Arabidopsis thaliana: one gene and its partner. The protein of the gene in region 2 interacts with the protein of the main gene of each other region in a biochemical or structural test. Each region holds a gene or a part of one and is shown on either strand. Other genes may lie near its edges.

Region 1 (8,323 bases), on a different chromosome or scaffold from region 2:
CAAAAAGAGGACCTGAAGCCAAGATTGAGAGCGTGATAAAGACGGTGGTGAAGAGTATTGATGTGGGCAGTGGTGTTTCCTCCCTTTGACGACGCCATATCTGTCGCCGGAGTTTTCGTTCTGACTGAAAATTGACCGGTGGATTTGATACAACGGAGTGATTGATACACGACACAGAGAGACCGTCCTTTGATTTTTTGATAATGGGCCTTTAAATAAGGCTTTCTCTTCCAAACTAATTCGCATATTTCTATTCCCAAACAATTATAAAATTAATAAACCCGAAATAATTTTTAAAAAATCATCACGCAATTCAAAAAATGTTTTCCTTAAAAAAATTGTAGTGTAAACTGAAATTTATCAGCATTATTATGCACTCATTTCCTTATGAATAAAATCAGTAAAAGAAATTTAGAGTTAAAAGACACACATTCACATATCTATGTTTGAACATTATTTAGCTCGTTGACTAGCTTGAAGAAAAAGAGACAACGACCCACGTTTATGTCTTTAATCTTTATAACAGGAGATACATCAAACCGGAGGGAGAAGAAGTTGTTTGAGTCTTAACAAGAGTGTGTGAGTAACATAAATACAAGGAGATCGAGTAATTAGTGTGAGCATCATCTTAAGAGATTATTAGTGTTGTAAAGTGTTCAGAGTTAAGTTTACTAATGAATGAATGATACTTGAGGAGCAAGGATTGCTGAAATCGTCGGAGAAGATGAACAGACGGGAGAAACGATGAAGAGATCGCGAGCAGAATTAGGGTTTTAGAAGTCGTCGCTCTAGAAGATGAACAAATAGAGACAAGGGTCCCAGAAGGACATAAGCGGCTAGACAGTGCAGCGACGGAGGCGACGACTGCGCAGCTAGGGTTGGTTTTGAAATCGTAGGGATTTATATTGGGTTTCTTCTAGTCTCTTAATTCATATTTTTATTCACTTATTTTGTTTTTAACTGTTTCCAAAATAATTCAAAATTGGTATTGTTGTAAATAATTTGGAAAAGAAAGGGTTATATGTATTTTATCCAAACAAAATAAGTAAGATAATTCGTTAATTATCATTTCTTTTTCTTTTTTCGAGAAGAAAACTAATTATCGTATATAATTATCATTTGAACCCCCTATATAGCAATCATCTCTTTCTTTTCATCGTCTCTTCATTTTTCTCCTCGTAGACGGAGACATCACCGATGTGACTCGAGGGGTTGATGATTAAAAATAATGGTTACGAACCAAAACTGATAGTAAAGAAGACGTTATCCGAATCGGATCTTGCTTCTACTCTCTTTTCCACGACAATTCCGATTACGTCGACCCTCATCCAGGCCCCGTCGACTCCTCTCTGGACGAAACCGATGCCATTGTCAAACATTTCGACGCCTGATGATTCCTGACATTGAAGCTTTATCGCGTGGACTTTTTCTCGTTGTTGTGCCATGCAAGTACAGTAAAACCTTTATAAATTAATATTCGATAAATTAATCATTTTTATAAAATAATAAATTCTTTCAGTATTTGGGACTAGTGTAAAAAGCGATACAAATCGATAAATTAATAAAATATTTTTTTTTTGAAAATCCTATGTAAACATATAGTCCCATCAATATCATAAATTAATAATTGTATTAAAATATCAGCTATATATATATATAAGAAATTTCAATGAAATATAATTCTAGTATCGTTTATTTTTGTAATTTAATTTAATATTTTTATTATATCAAAAAAATTCTTGTTGTTTTCAAGATATGATAATTATTTGTAATTGATTATAAAAAAATATTTTAATCATCAAAAAAAATCTTATATTTTTATAGAAATTAAAAAAATCTTACCGTAGTATTCAGTCATTTAGTTACTATTTTTCATTGGGGTTTTTAGACCAATGATTTGTTACTTTTATTTCCAACTGCATTTGTTTCATATAAAAACGTCGTGTATCGAGATTTCCTTTCTTTTCTTTATAAAGAAATATAAATTGGCCGTTATCTTTTTCCTCAAACTAAACAACTCAGATGAAACAAATTCAAAGACTAAACAAATATGTATATTTTATTCATAGCCAATTGAAATAATATCAGCATTATATGTTTATGCAATCATATCCTTTTGAGTATAACCAAAAGGAAACAAAGAGTTAAAAGACACATTCACACATCTACATGTTAGGCTTTATAACAGCACATTATTTTGATCATTTGCAACCATTTTTTCCCAAACTTGTAGTAATCTGATCAGATGAATCTTGAATACCTTCCAGATTCTTCCCTTCTGATGCCAACGAGCAAGACTGCGAAACGAAAAACACACTCGAAGAAGAAGAAGATTCAGCAGTCGAAAACAACTCCCTTTCATCGAATCCCCTAGATTTCTTCATGTCTCTCTCTTCTTCTTCCTCAGGTTTCACTCTCTTTGACCCGTTGTAACGAACAGCCGAAGGTACTTGTTGGTCATTAGAAGACACAGATGGGCAAAGACCAGGTTCTTTAATGGTATTAGCCCCTAAGGCCTCGAAGCTATCTGCTACAATCTCATCAGGTGCTGCTCCGATCATGATCTGTGCTTCACGGGTTCTTGAAATAGCTTTAGCTAGTAGCTCACGAGCTGTGTCGATGTCTACAATGGGTTTCGCATAGTTTGTTCCGAGTTCCACACCAGAAGCTTTGAGTACGGTTAAAGGAGCGTCCCATGGATGATGGATCCATTCAGTTGGCAATCTCGCAAGCTCGGGAAGCCATTGCCTTATGTACTCACCTTCTGGGTCATATTTGGCGCCTTGTAACTGAAATAAAAACAGAGTTTTCATAGACTTCAGAACTAAATCAACCAAACCAAATAAGCTGAAAAATAAAATAAAAAACGAATGCATAGCAAAAACTGGTATTAAGCTTTGAATTCTAAACTATAAGACAAGTTTTGTAGTTTACCGCGGGATTGTCCAAGCGATCAAGCTCGTGGCCATCGGGGATACTCCCAGAGATATACTGCCAGCCAAGGATGTCACATTCCAAATCAGCATCCAAAAGTGTATCCCAGAAATACTTCATTCCCCATTTCCATGGAAGGAGAAGAAACTTCACAGCAAAGCTTGAAACAATCACTCTTATTCTGTTATGCATCCATCCGGTAGCCCAAAGCTCTCTCATTCCGGCATCCACCAACGGATAACCGGTCCTGCCTTGTCTCCAGGCCTTGAACTTATCAACATCAGCATCCCAAGGGAAAAACCGAAGATGACTCAACAACGATTGCTCGTGAGTAAACGGGAAGTTGAAACATATATACCGAGAATACTCTCTTAAACCGATTCCCCTAAGAAAAAGATCTGCACTTTCTTCTCCTTCACTGTTCTTATCTCTTGCCCATATAATTTGTTTCATCCGGGCACACTGGAAAACGTGTCTGACGCTTATTTCCCCGAAATGGAGATACGGAGAAAGTAGTGAAGTAGAATTCCCAACAACTTTCTTGCTGTTCTTTGCATAATCTATCAACTGCTTCTCGATGAACTCATTTAGTAACTTATCAGCATTGCTCCATCCTGGAGACCAAGCTCTAGTTAACAACGCATTGCTCGGTTTCTCGGCCTCATTCTCCAGCCCTAGTTCTTCAATCGAACACGCCCAAATCGCTTCAGCCGCTAACAAAGAAAAAGCCATAAACTTTTACTACCGCTTATGTCCTGAAGAAATCAAAAACGTTTTAGCTTTTAAGTAATACTCTTTAAGGTTTTACCTGCAGTTATTGGCATCAACCGCCAAGGAGGAGGAAGCATAACGGATTCAATCGACATATCTAAGCATTTCTTCCAGTAAGAATTGAAACTCGTAAAAGGTTTGCCCTTTTCGCAGTATATCTCCCACGGTTCATACAATAGATCTCCATTGTAGCTTTGCACAGAGATCCCACGTTCCACCAGCTTCTCCTTTACGGTATGGTCCCGAACTAACGAAACAGGATCTACAACAAAGAAAAACGTGATCGCATCAACCTCAGTTGCACTTAGACTACACTAACTTAATAAGAATATATATCCTTTGAATAAGAGATGAAAGAGTATATACCATAGAGGTGGTTAAAGACGACTTTTGTAGCACCGGTAACGCGGATACAATCCAAGATCGCTGAAATCGTGTTGTGGGTTTTGATTAAAGTGAGGTCAGATCCAAGAGCCTTCAAGGATTGAGATAAGTGAGCAAGTGATTGTTTCATCCACCATCTTGAAGCTCTTCCAGGATAAAACTGTCCTTCTTCTTCAGGACACCAAATGAAGACAGGAAAAACAGATCCTTCGTGAGCAGCTGCTGCTAATGCAGGATTATCCTCAATCCTTAGGTCTCTTCTAAACCAAACTATAGTCTTTTTGTCCATCTTCATAGTTATTATGATCACAGATGAATCAAAGATCAAATCAGCTAAAATTCCACACTCTAACCAAGTTGTTCCATGATTTCAGACCTCAACCTCCTCCAGAGAATAGTTCTATAACAATAACAGAGAATGATTGATAAGAAATCTGTAATCTTTGAGTCCTAAAATCCAAAATAATCTACAAAAAAACATAACAGAGAGAGATTCGATTTAATCCTAATCCTTTTAAACAGAGCAAGCAAGAGAAATTCAATTGAGAGAAACAAAAATCAAAAGCTGGAAACTTTTTACCAGAACTCAAATCAGAGTGGATATCTCTCGGCGACAAAGATCTTCGAATCAAAGACTGTGAAAGTTATTTTAGTGACTTGACTCTTCTTTCTTCCTATTTTGGGTATGCAAAGTTAAAGATTTGAGATCTAACGGAGACCAAAAACAATACCCATATGAGAGTATGAATGTTAATAATTGTGCAATATAATAATCACAACGAGACAAAAGTAGACAACTTTATCCACAACTAGTGGCGTGTGTTCTTATAATAGCGTTTTTTTTACCGACATCTCATCTTTGATTTGCTCATCTACGATTTTATCGGGATCATGTACGAACTTTCTCTTGTGAGATATTTTTTTATAAGAGATCGAATTTTGTTTGAATGTTGAGTGGGCCTAAAGCGCAGTGAAGATACTCTTATCTTCTTATGCTAGAGAAAAAAGTTTTTTAACGTTGGGGCCGAGGACGGTGGTTCATGAACTCGATTCTGGTCATGCCCACTTTTGTAGAATCCATTAAATATCTAAAGTCTATATGGCTTAAAGGTGAGAACTTGATTCTCATTAGTCATTACCAAGTAGAATCTATAATCAAAATCCACTGCTTTTACTTTACAAAAGGAAAAAGGTAAAGATAAAAAAGTTCTCTCAAACTTTGAATCCTCGTATACCCCTTATTAATGGACCATTGCCTACGGTTTATGATTCGATTTCGGATAGTCGTAAAATAGAAGCAATCTAAGTTTTTTGGATGTATATTTTGGTGTCAACTTGGTGTTTGGTTATAAAATATTTGGGTGAAGAAAAATAGAAGTAAAATTAAAATAATCCACATTAGAATTTCAGTTTAATCTAGTGATTTGGTTTTGGTATGAATCTGCAAGAGTAGCATTTCTTTTTGCAATTGCAACACAATAACACCATTCCTCACAAATCACAATTGCACAAACCCATTATCGAAGAGCTCATCAATTTTGGGCTAATTGCTAAAGCAGAAAAAAATAATCGCAAAAGATAACCATGCAACTGCCAATTTTCTTCTTTTCATGGGTAAACCAAATCAGACACATTGAAAAAAACGATATCCTGGTTTAGAAACAGACCAGGGACAATACTCATCAAAGAGACCAAAGAGGTTATAAAACAGTGTTTGGAGATCTTTCAAACACACTTCTTATTCGGACAAAGCCCTGAAAGGCTTTAACTGATCTCACACCTTATAGATGAAAATTTTGCTCCAGAAGGGTTTAAGAGAGGCATGAGTACGCCAAGTCCTTCTCTTCCTTGAGCTCCTCTGCAGTCAAATCCATCTTCTTCCTTGATACTTCATCAATCGGAAGGCCTAACCAAACAAAATACACATTAGGGTCTGCAGAATCTAGGATTTCATAATTGATGAGCATTTGAGTTTGTAAGTGCGTCATATTTACCTTGGACAATACTCCAGTCTCCATTGCGACAAGTTACAGGGAAGGAGTAGATAAGTCCTGATGGAACGCTGTAAGAGCCATCGGAGTATACTCCCATGGAAACGAACGTACCCTGACAATTTGAATCAAAGAAAGAACTCATATTAGATTAACTGTTACAAAAAAACAGCACTGCAAATAACGGGGAAGAGTTTTATTATGAACCTCTGGAGTTCCAAGGACCCAGTCACGGATGTGGTCACAAGCAGAGCTAGCAGCAGAGAGCGCACTAGACAACTTCCTCGCCTTGATGATTGCAGCTCCACGTTGTTGAACTGTAGAGATAAATTCTCCGTCCAACCTACAGAATGAGCAATATATTTAAGTGAAACTAGATTTTGCTTCCAGAGAAGAGAAAGGGTCTTAAGTTCTATGGCATGTTATACATACCATGCATCGTCCTTGACGAGCTCACGGACAGGCTTCTCTCCAGACGAGGTCTGCACTTTAGCATGGTTGACATCTGGGTACTGTGAGGATGAGTGGTTTCCCCAGATGATCACGTTCTTAACATCAGACACTGGCACGCTCAACCTCTCAGAGATCTGTCCCAAAGCCCTGTTGTGGTCAAGCCTTGTCAAACAAGAGATGTTCTTTTCAGGGATTGATGGTGCAAATTCCTTGAGGATCAATGCGTTGGTGTTTGCCGGGTTGGCCACAACAAGAACCTGAAAAAAAAAAGACAAAACGAGAGCGAATGTGTGAGCAAGAGAGTCGTAAACTAGAACCCAATAGAGAACACAAAGCATCTGTTACACTCCAATGAACAGAGAAGATTGGATGCAGTGGCTTCATTTAACTTAAAAAGCAAACAGATCGTATCACCTTGCAGTTAGGAGCGGCATGCTTCTCCAAGGCAGCAGCCTGAGACTTGTAGATGGAAACATTCTTGGACATCACATCCTTCCTCTCCATACCTTCTTTCCTCGGGAAACCACCAACCATAACAGCAACATTGACTCCAGTACATCCCTCAACGGCATCAGTTGTAGCAACAACACCTGATAATAATACACATCAAATATTCATCTTCTCCTTTCCCACTTATACAAAACAACTTATGACACGGAATGCAAATATCCACAGCAAAACAAAACCCTTAACTACCTTTAAGAAGAGGGAAAGCAGCATCGATCAACTCCATCTTAACACCGTTCAAAGCTTCAGCAGCTGGAGGAATATCCAACATGTGGAGGATAACAGGTTGGTCAGCACCAAGCATGATACCCCTTGCAATCATAGGTACAAGAGCATATCCGATTTGTCCTGCATAATCACAATCAATAGTTACTTTCAGTAGCTGAGGAGATCTAAAGTCACAACTTAAACTCTATCCAACTATATAAACAACGGTTTCTAAATCAGAGTTCGATCCATGAAATAACTTTTACTAAAATTAGATATGCGACCAACTCAATCAATCGTTGGTCAGCGTTGAATCCAACGGAACAAGAGTTGACCTATATTTCATTGATCTATGGAACAACCAGATACTATGCAGAGATCTGACTAGATTCAGCAAGCGATTCACTAGCCAGAGATCTAGAAGTTACACGATCTAATCGGATATAGATGAAAGTTATACCTGCAGCTCCAGTAACGAGCACACGAACTGGTTCTTTCGCCATCGGATCTAGATCGGAGATTATCGCCGGAAAACGGATCGAATTTGGGATATTCGACTTTTGAGAGAGCGTAGAGTCAGCTTTTGTCTGACCGTGAAGCTCACTCTTGCGTATTTATCGAAGATATCGAAGGATGTACCGCCACGTCATCTAATATAATCATATTATCTCGAAGAAATAAATCGAAATCTGAGATTAGACCTATCATATTAGGAAAACAAGATATTATTCAATATATATTTTTGACTCTAATGGGCCTCTTACATTAGGCCCAAATCGTTTAGCCCAGAGTATTCAAATACGTGAATCAAAACAGTAGATAATGGTGGCGATAAGGCGAGAAGAACCACGTCCACGACAACCTCCGGTATGGCGTCATCTTACGTCACCTACTCAACGGTCACTCCGGTGGTCAGCAGCAGTAACATTCGAGGAGTCTTTCGTTTGGCATTCACGCGCCGCCGTGTTACTCTATCGCCGAATGCTCGGAGGAGAATATTGAGAGTTTCGGCGAAAGCGTCGACGAAGAATGCTATGGAGTATAGGAAATTAGGAGATTCCGATCTCAACATCAGC
Region 2 (8,953 bases):
AGTGGCTTGAGCAACACGCAACTTGTCCTCTTTGCAGAGATAGAGTCTCAATGGAAGAAGATTCCTCTGTTCTCACTAACGGAAACAGTTTCAGGTTCTTGAATCAGTCTGAGATTAGAGAAGATTCGAGCTTGGAGCTTTACATCGAGAGAGAAGAAGAAGAAGAAAGAATACACAGAGAAGAACTTAGTGGGTCGTCGAGATTCAGCATCGGAGAGAGTTTCCGGAAGATTCTGAAATTAGGTAATAAAGAAAAAACGTTACTTGATGAACACGTGAACGATAAAGATGAGAAGAAGCTTATGCACAAGTTCAATCATAGGATCGTTGTGTCGGATGTTGTTTTCAAGAATCGTTGGAGCAACGTGAGTTCATCAGATTTGATGTTTTTGAATTCCGAGATGGTTAATTCGATTTCTAGCGAGAGATTTTCTTCATTGGATCATGTGAAGAGAGGAGATGAAGAGGATCAGATAGGTATCTTGCGAATCAAGGAAGAGATGGAAGCGAAGAGAATGTTGGAGAACAAGTTAACTTCGATGACAACTATGTTTTCCTCGGAAAACGGAGACTCTGGTTCGAAATCAAGAAGCGTTATGATCGAACCAGGACGAAGATCGGTGTCTGACATCACTGCGGTTCCTAGACTCAGTATATCGATTCATGGAGATTGCAGCGGTTCAGCCGCAGAGACTGCGTCTGCGTTACAAAACGGTGGGAATGAGACGGAGGAGAGAAGACGGCGTTTGTGGCTGCCGATCGCTAGAAAAACTGCTCAATGGTTTGCTAACAGAGAAAAAAGAAGTCAAATTAACACAACACACCAACACTTTGATGTTTAGTTTCTTTATTTTTCTTAAAAATTTGCAATTCTTTTTCAGATTCAATTTGAGACTATTTTCCCATAATTAGTAGATACAAGTTTTGATTTTAAGTTATGTTCAGAGAATTCTACTAATGTTAATACTTAATACATGTTAGTTGGATCAAACGAAGCTGATTTGTGTAAATAAGATAGATTTATGTATAAACAAAGCTTTGACTTATAATATATGAATTGATTGAATTATTGCTGGATTTAATTTTAAAAAGAGCTCAATAATTGTTTTCAATAAGGAACATGTCAGCTTACCTGGTTACAGAAGCAACCAGGCTCATTTTCAGTTTCATTGTTATTACTGCAATATTTTTTGTTCAACATGTATTATACACAACTATTACAAATAAAGTAATAACTTGGCTACATGTTATGATTTTGTTATGAATGCATCATATATTATACATTTATAACTTTAAGACTTTAATACACACATAACTCACTCACACATACTGTATATGATATATGAATTATTGCTTCTAACTCTATTTATTTAGTTTTCCTTTTCATTCAAAATAAAACACAACTACTCTTGGTTTTGTCTCTTGACAATTGTATTCTTTTATTTGGACGAACATTATTACTAAATCATGTAATTGATTACAAAAATACATATAAGTAGGTCAACTAACTACTAATAATAATATTTTAATTTCATAACAAACACTACATTAGCCAATTTGATTATTAATATACAATTTTATATTCAAGACCTAGCAATTTCCTTTTGATTATCTTACTTTCTTTTTCCAGTTACCAATTATGAAATTATATGCCCAATCATATAAGATATATTTATAATTATCTGATGTGGGATTCTGACTCCTCTGATTTTTTCTTTGTAATATATTTATATGCCACTAAACTTAAAATAGATGTATATTTTGTCCTTCATATAAGCATATAACAGTCTTAAAAATAAGTGGAACACCTTCTTCTTTTTCATGTCTTATTTTGGAACCTCTTTCTTAACTTTGTAACGAAGGACACCACGATGGAACCTGGGCTGCTTCGAGTGCAGGTGCAGCACCGTAGATGAAACTTTTTAAGTTTGTATGATGTAAAAACAAAATGGGAAACGATTCAAAGAACATGTTATAATGCGAAATAGGTAGATGAGGCCAAAGATTGTTGTTATGTAAAAAGCAAGTCATTGCATCATCATACTTATCATGTGGTCCAACTTATGCCGATTACGAATGGAAGTTAAATTTAAAATAAATTATTAAATAGAACCTAACGAAACTATTTTATATTATAGGTGTATTAGGTTGAATATGGACCTGTTTTAGAATAACGCCCCTTTCTTTCTAGTAGAGTTCAGTCTTCTTTGGAGTTGGTATCGGATCAAATTTTCGTTTAAAAACAATAATGATGTAGCTTAATTCAAATTGTAGTAAATTACTTTCAATTTAATTTTTGTTTTGGTTTTCAATTACTTAGGTTCCGTCTGGATTTGATTTCAATTTTCACAATATATAAAGATAACAGAAATATTTAAAAGCAAATATTGAAGAGTATATGATACTAATTACTAAACACTATGAAGAAATTTAAGACAAACTTACTTTAGTTTACACAAATTGGATTTTCCCTTATGGCCTAAGATAGGTTTCCATTACAGCTGTACAAATACAACCTACACCTGGTCACCTGCCTCTTCCATGATGATGATTTCTCCGACCGAGCGCATCAAATCGTTTTTCAACTGGCTTCATGAGCTCTCAAACATTTTATTCTCTCCCAGAATAGTTTCTTACTCACTGTCTCCGAGTTATTTGAATCCCATGTTGACTCTCAAAATCTTTCCTCATAAATCAATTGCACAAAAATAAGAATCGAACTTGGGCGTCTGTGAAAGAAACCTGTGCATTGCTAAGCCTTTTGAAGACTCATCTCAGCTCAAGCTTGGCTCTGGATTTCTGCAAAGAATGACGCTATCCATTAACATGTATACATATATCAAGCTGCAGCAAAAGGTCATTGATCACATAGCAAAGAGTAGCTAAAAATGATATGTATGAATCACATAACAAGATTACACATCCGGGTGTAAGAATTATACAAAGGTTGGGGGAAATCTTTGAATGAAAAGCACACATACACTTTCATGTCTTGTGTGTGTAAACACAAATGCTTCAACCAACGCCTTCTTGTCCACACACACTTCAGAGAATTTACATAGAAACCATTGCATCTTTCTTCCAGCCAAAGGTGGAGGAGATACAAAGGTGTTAGTGACACCAAGTTCTGATTTCTGCTGTAGTTTCAGAGGTGAATTAAGGGCACGGAGTCACATTAACAGCGCATCATCTCACTCACCATTTCAGGAAAAAGCTACATTTTCTTTGCATCATTTCTCTGGAGACATGAATGACGAAGTCCAACCAGTTCTATTCCCACTCCCATATCCAGAATTTGAGGTTTCGGGTCCGACATTTCTTTTTGAGGTACCCGCAGGAGATAATGAAGTGGATGGCATGTTCATCTGCAATGGGTTTTCAGTAAAATAACAGTCAAGGGAACTCATCTCGAAGATCAATATATTGTTTCATTAATTCATGACAATTGACAAAGCGATACTGGTAAAATCAGTTTTCAGGGAACCATGAAGTGTTCTGAGAGTAATACTATACATGACATGCTAACACAAGCAACGAGTTTGCAGAATAAAACGGTTCTTTGGAAGAGGCAAATGCAGAAATACGTACATTCTTGTGGACAGGGTGATCAAACCCCGGAGTCCTCCCTGCAGCAGTATTATTATTTATCTGTGGGCTTGGACCAATGGCATTAGCCGATCTGACGCGTTCAGAGGCCTCGGCTTCATAAGAAATATTTGGTCCTCCTGCCAAACAGAGCGTCAGAAAACAGAGATTTCAAAATAAACAATTGCAACAACAAGCTATTAATTAGAGCTAACCCCGATGATTGCTTGTGTCCACTGGCATTGCACGAGGATTGCTAGACCCAGGAACTGCCTGCAGTAGAAATGACAATACTTTTTGTTAGTAACAAGAAAGGTGACACAGCAGCAAATTAAGATTGAGAAAACATTGAAAACTATACCTGAGACTGATTTCTAGATTTCTGTGCTTGTTGATACTTTATGATAGTCCAGTCAAATATATAGTCGAACTCATATCCTGCAAAAGAGAACATATAATAGTGAGGTAGGTAGATGATGCCGGTGAACCTTATCAGCTGAGTGAACTATGAATGATGAAGAGATGTCTTTATCCAAAGTACCTACCTTCCCGCGAAAATAAATCACGAAAAAGCCGCTTCAAGAATCCATAATCTGGGCGCTGATCAAATGTCAGTGTATGGCAGTAATGAAAATATGATGCAAACTCCACAGGGTGATTTTTGCATAGCACCTGCAATGGGATATCGATATATACTTAGTCGAATGAGGATTAACAAAAAAAGAATCAATCACACAATAGGGAAACATACCTCAATGGGAGTTGATATCTTCTTCTCACAGATTTTATCATACTTTTGCTTCTTGTCAACAGCCTTAAGACCCTGCCATGGAAGACTAGAAAAGGACGTTCATGAAATGAGGAACACAAAAAACAGTTAAGTAAATCTCTAAAAACAAGGAATAGAAATACCCTGCGAAATAACATAATGTTAACTAGTTTCTTTCAAAAAGACAACACACCTTCCTCTTAGGAAATACAGAAGCACATATCCCAGCGATTCTAGATCATCCCGTCGACTTTGCTCTGTGAAGAGAACCCAAAATATGAGCAAAAGCGATTTACTTTTACATAAGGATAAAGAATGCCAGCATTTCTTACCAATTCCAAGATGTGTATTGCAACTTGCATATCGTGCAGTTCCTGTTAAATTCTTGTTTTCCCTGAATATAGCCGAATAAAGGAAATAAGTTGTATAATGATTAACGTGACCGTAAAACTTAAAAACAGATAGATCATTTACAATCTGTATATTGAACCAAGGCCACAATACCTGTAAGGGATGTGGCGGTTGGTGTTGGCATCCCGATATCTTTTGGCAAGTCCAAAGTCAATTAGATAAACCTGAAAAATGAGACTTATCAATCATACCATACTCTACTTATGGCATCTGATGAAGATAAGAAGTTGCAGAAATATACCTGATTTGCTTTCCGACCTAGGCCCATGAGGAAGTTATCGGGTTTAATATCTCTATGCAGATATCCTTTCGAATGTACAAATTCTATTCTTGTTAGCTGTAACAGCGGGATAAGAAAATCGGAAGCACATTAGATAATCAATGTATAAGTCAACAGATATTATAAATAGCCTAATGAATAGTTGAAAGTCATGCCATACCATTTGATCAGCCAACATCAAGACTGTCTTTGGTGAGAATTTCCTCCCACAGTAGACGAAAAGATCTTCGAGACTTGGACCGAGCAAATCCATCACTAAAGCATTCTCTGTTCCATCAACTCCAAACCATTTTATGCGCGGAATTCCACCTGACACATAACATAAAAATTAGTATTGTACTGCTAATGAATCCCTCCAATGTCCAACAACTGAGAAAAGAGAGGAAAGAGAATCATACTTCCTCCTTCAAGAATTCTATATAGCTTAGCTTCATAGAGAAGTTGAGGATGCTTTGTTTTACTGTTCTCCTGCAAGAGAAAATGATTGAATTAAAAACAAGTGTTAGCTTGAAGAATATATTGCAGCTAAAAAGCACCGAGTTTAAAACCTTGCTCAATTTTAGAGTAAAGCAATTCAAACAAAATCAATTAAGAGACATAGCAGATCCAAATCAAATCTCCAGATTGGATGGATTCAATTCGTCTCAAGGCAAATTGAGCTGGGACTTACGATCTTAACAGCTACGATCTCGAAGGTATCGACGTGCGTAGCTGCGAAAACAACAAACAGAAGAGAAGAGCGTCAATTTCAAATAAAAAAGCAAACTCGGAAAACCAAAGGGACAAGAACAGAGGAGAACACAAAACCTAGAAAAATCTCTCCGAACGAACCACCGCCGATCTTCCGTCCGAGCTTGTACTTGCCGCCGATGATGCGTTCCATGGCAGCTCCAATCAGAACCGAATCTGGATCAAGCGCAAGGATAGAGATAAGGATTTAGGGTTGTTGTTTAGAAGATTGAAATTAGAGGAACTTAAAAACATATATTATTATTTTTGTTTGACTGACATCGGTGGTAGTGACATGGACCCAGGCTTGTTTGAGCCGTAGTAGTGATCCTTCAAAAAAAAATTTGTACACCTAACTACTGCACCATTTTGGGTCCGCCAATCTTTTTTTACCTTATAAACAAACACGAGGGTATTTACGTGATTTTGTAATGTCACGCTGGCACGGTGGATGATTTGATGATTTCCGTTTTTGGGGTCTGCAAAATGATGAAGGTTCGAAAATTTAATGGGTTGGCTGATTTTCGAGTCATAAACTATTTCGATTCTTAGTTTTCACTCCCGGATTTTTGGGCCCTTAAATTTCCACCATCAATTTTCATATTCCTCAAAATTACATCATCTACTTTCGAATTCATGATTAAACATACATTTTCAATTGAACCATTCATTTAACCGGGATTAACCACAAATCCGCGTTTACTGTACCGCGATTGTGATTAACCCGACTAATACCCAGACCCGTTAAGAAAACGACGTCGTTTTCATTCTTCTTCTTTAACTCTCAAATCGATTTGGTAGTCCTCTTCTTTTGACTTTCATCTCTGTCTCCATCGTCTTCTAGATTGACGTCTCCATCAGACGCTATGTCACCATCGTCTTCTCTATTTTCCTCTCCATCAGAAGCTCTGTCTCCATCTATCCCGACGTCCTCTCCCTCGATTCTGGTGGCTTCGTCCTCCTCGACTCCGCTATCACCACTATCACTTCCATCGTCGGCTTCAATGTCACTCTCTGGAGGTTCGAAATCGGGGTCATCTGGATCGCTTTGGTAAATCAATCTTTCCTCCCACCAATTCTTCATTTCTCCCTATTCGAAACCCAAATCGAGACCCAAAAATTCGAACCGAAGAAGAAAACCCCAAATCCCCTTTTGTCTTTCTCTCTCAAGAACCCTAATTTCACAGTGTCGAGATTAAAGAAGAACGACTAAATCGATTTGAGAGTTAAAGAAGAAGAATGAAAACGACGTCGTTTTCTTTCTCTTTTTGATGAGTTAAACGAAATGAAAACGACGTCGTTTTCTTAACGGGTCTGGGTATTAGTTGGGTTAATCGCAATCGCGGTACAGTAAACGCGGATTTGTGGTTAATCCCGGTTAAATGAATGGTTCAATTGGAAATGTATGTTTAAGCATGAATCCAAAAATAGATGATGTAATTTTGGGAATATGAAAGTTGATGGTGGAAATTTAAAGGCCCAAAAGTCCGGGTGTGAAAGCTGAGAATCGAAATAGTTTATGGCTCGAAAATCAGCCAACCCAAATTTAATCCACTAACTAGTTCTCTACCAAATCGATCAATTCTAGGTGTTTGTATTTCAATATTGAGACTACAATTTTATACGTTTTTTTTTTTTAATAATAGCAATTGAAAATGCATGTTTGGATCAAGTCAAGCTTTTTGATATAATTTTTTTCAATGCACAAAATCGAGTAAGAAAAATCAAACACAGAATACCATTAAACTGAATAGGAAATTCAGAGAAAAAAAAAGGGGGAAGTGTTTCTCGGAGCATTCCAGAAGCTAGCCATAGCTTATCCTTTTACGTTCTCGTCAGCTGCACATTAGCTTGATGGTGACATGTCCCTGCCACAAGCAACTCTTGACTCAAGCCTTTGAAGGCATCTCTGCTGAAGCTGCTCATGCTTTGCTCTTGATTTTCTGCAAACAATGTTGATGACACAGCAAACCCAGGTTATGCCCCAACACAGGGAACTACGTACAGAAATACGAACAAAGTTTTATAGAAGAAAACTTGGGAGAATGAATCACAAGAACCAAATTACACGCCCGGTTGCAAGATTTTATACAAAGGTTGAAGTCAGTCATTTGTGAGAATCTTGAAGGAAAGCAAACATAATCTTCATGCCTTTTGTCAAACAGTAAGCTGTTCATGGAAAAACTCCATTCAGATCTTCAACCTCAGTCTAGAGCTTTTCACTGCAGAAATCACAGTTTAGACCCAAAGGCACACATAATCTTGCTCAGCAGATCAGATGAATGATATACTCCAACTTTTTTTGCATCATTTCCCCGGTGACATGAATGGTGAAGTCCAACCGCCGGTTTTATTCCCGCTCCCAAACCCAGAATTTGAGGTTTCGGGTCTGACATTTCTTTTTGAGGTACCCGCAGGAGATAATGAAGTGGATGATGGCATGTTCATCTGCAATGGGTTTTCAGTAAAATAATGGTCAAGAGCATATTTCGTGATGATCAGTATCGTGTTTTAATCATTTATGCTATATGTAGTTCATATCACAATATAGAGCTCGTTGATGACAATTGACCATGCAAAACAGGTAAAAGCTTTAAGCAGAGAACCATGCAGAACTCTGAAGCAACACAGATGCAGGCATGAGATGCTAACACAAGGGGGAGGGTTGCAGGATACAACATTTATTTGGAAGAGGCAAATGAATAAGCACGTACATTCTTGTGGACTTGATCAAAACCCAGACTCCTCCCTACAGCGGTATTAATCTGTGGGCTTGGACCACTGGCATTAGCCGGTCTGACACGGTCAGAGACTTGGGCTTCATGTGAAATCTTAGTTCCTCCTGCCAAACGGAGAGTTAGCATCAAGATATTGAAATAAACAGTTGCAACGGGAAACTAAATCAGCCAAACACTCTATGCCAGTTGAGTCCAGTGTGAAAGTCGAGAGAAAACAAAAAACACATCATATACTATTACAAAATTAATCAGAAAGTGACACAATTAAAATTTATAACTCGAGCTGACCTCGATGATTGCTTGTGTCCATTGGTATTGCACGAGCATTACTAGACCCAGGAACGGCCTGCAGCATGACAGTTTATTGTTAGGAAGACAGGCATATCTATATTTAGCACCAAAACTAAAAAATAGCAAAACCAAGTAAAACTTCTCCCCAGG

What was found. The genes of interacting proteins can lie anywhere in the genome.
Region 1: the proteins of ckl3 (region 2) and CRY2 form a complex in vitro, tested with the Arabidopsis thaliana proteins (one study listed by BioGRID).

Annotation. Positions count from the first base shown.
Region 1 is NC_003070.9:1,183,518-1,191,840, forward strand, and holds CRY2 (cryptochrome 2), read right to left. Parts: upstream 5,180-8,323; 5' UTR 4,670-5,179; intron 4,557-4,669; exon of another isoform or gene 4,490-4,556; 5' UTR 4,385-4,489; coding exon 4,072-4,384; intron 3,968-4,071; coding exon 3,743-3,967; intron 3,648-3,742; coding exon 2,935-3,647; intron 2,790-2,934; coding exon 2,202-2,789; 3' UTR 1,995-2,201; downstream 1-1,994. Other genes in the region: AT1G04390 (BTB/POZ domain-containing protein), read right to left, coding at 13-98; c-NAD-MDH1 (Lactate/malate dehydrogenase family protein), read right to left, coding at 5,901-5,995, 6,084-6,195, 6,288-6,423, 6,513-6,790, 6,948-7,123, 7,230-7,388, 7,708-7,750; AT1G04420 (NAD(P)-linked oxidoreductase superfamily protein), read left to right, coding at 8,117-8,323.
Region 2 is NC_003075.7:14,248,326-14,257,278, reverse strand, and holds ckl3 (casein kinase I-like 3), read right to left. Parts: upstream 6,145-8,953; 5' UTR 5,929-6,144; coding exon 5,853-5,928; intron 5,757-5,852; coding exon 5,716-5,756; intron 5,514-5,715; coding exon 5,444-5,513; intron 5,355-5,443; coding exon 5,206-5,354; intron 5,103-5,205; coding exon 5,007-5,102; intron 4,930-5,006; coding exon 4,859-4,929; intron 4,749-4,858; coding exon 4,687-4,748; intron 4,612-4,686; coding exon 4,548-4,611; intron 4,422-4,547; coding exon 4,337-4,421; intron 4,258-4,336; coding exon 4,131-4,257; intron 4,024-4,130; coding exon 3,947-4,023; intron 3,859-3,946; coding exon 3,801-3,858; intron 3,726-3,800; coding exon 3,589-3,725; intron 3,366-3,588; coding exon 3,231-3,365; 3' UTR 2,333-3,230; downstream 1-2,332. Other genes in the region: AT4G28890 (RING/U-box superfamily protein), read left to right, coding at 1-842; AT4G28870 (mutator transposase MUDRA protein), read right to left, coding at 6,559-6,858; ckl4 (casein kinase I-like 4), read right to left, coding at 8,082-8,222, 8,489-8,616, 8,801-8,858. UniProt on the Arabidopsis thaliana protein: Protein kinase involved in blue light responses (e.g. hypocotyl elongation and flowering) by phosphorylating CRY2 to reduce its stability.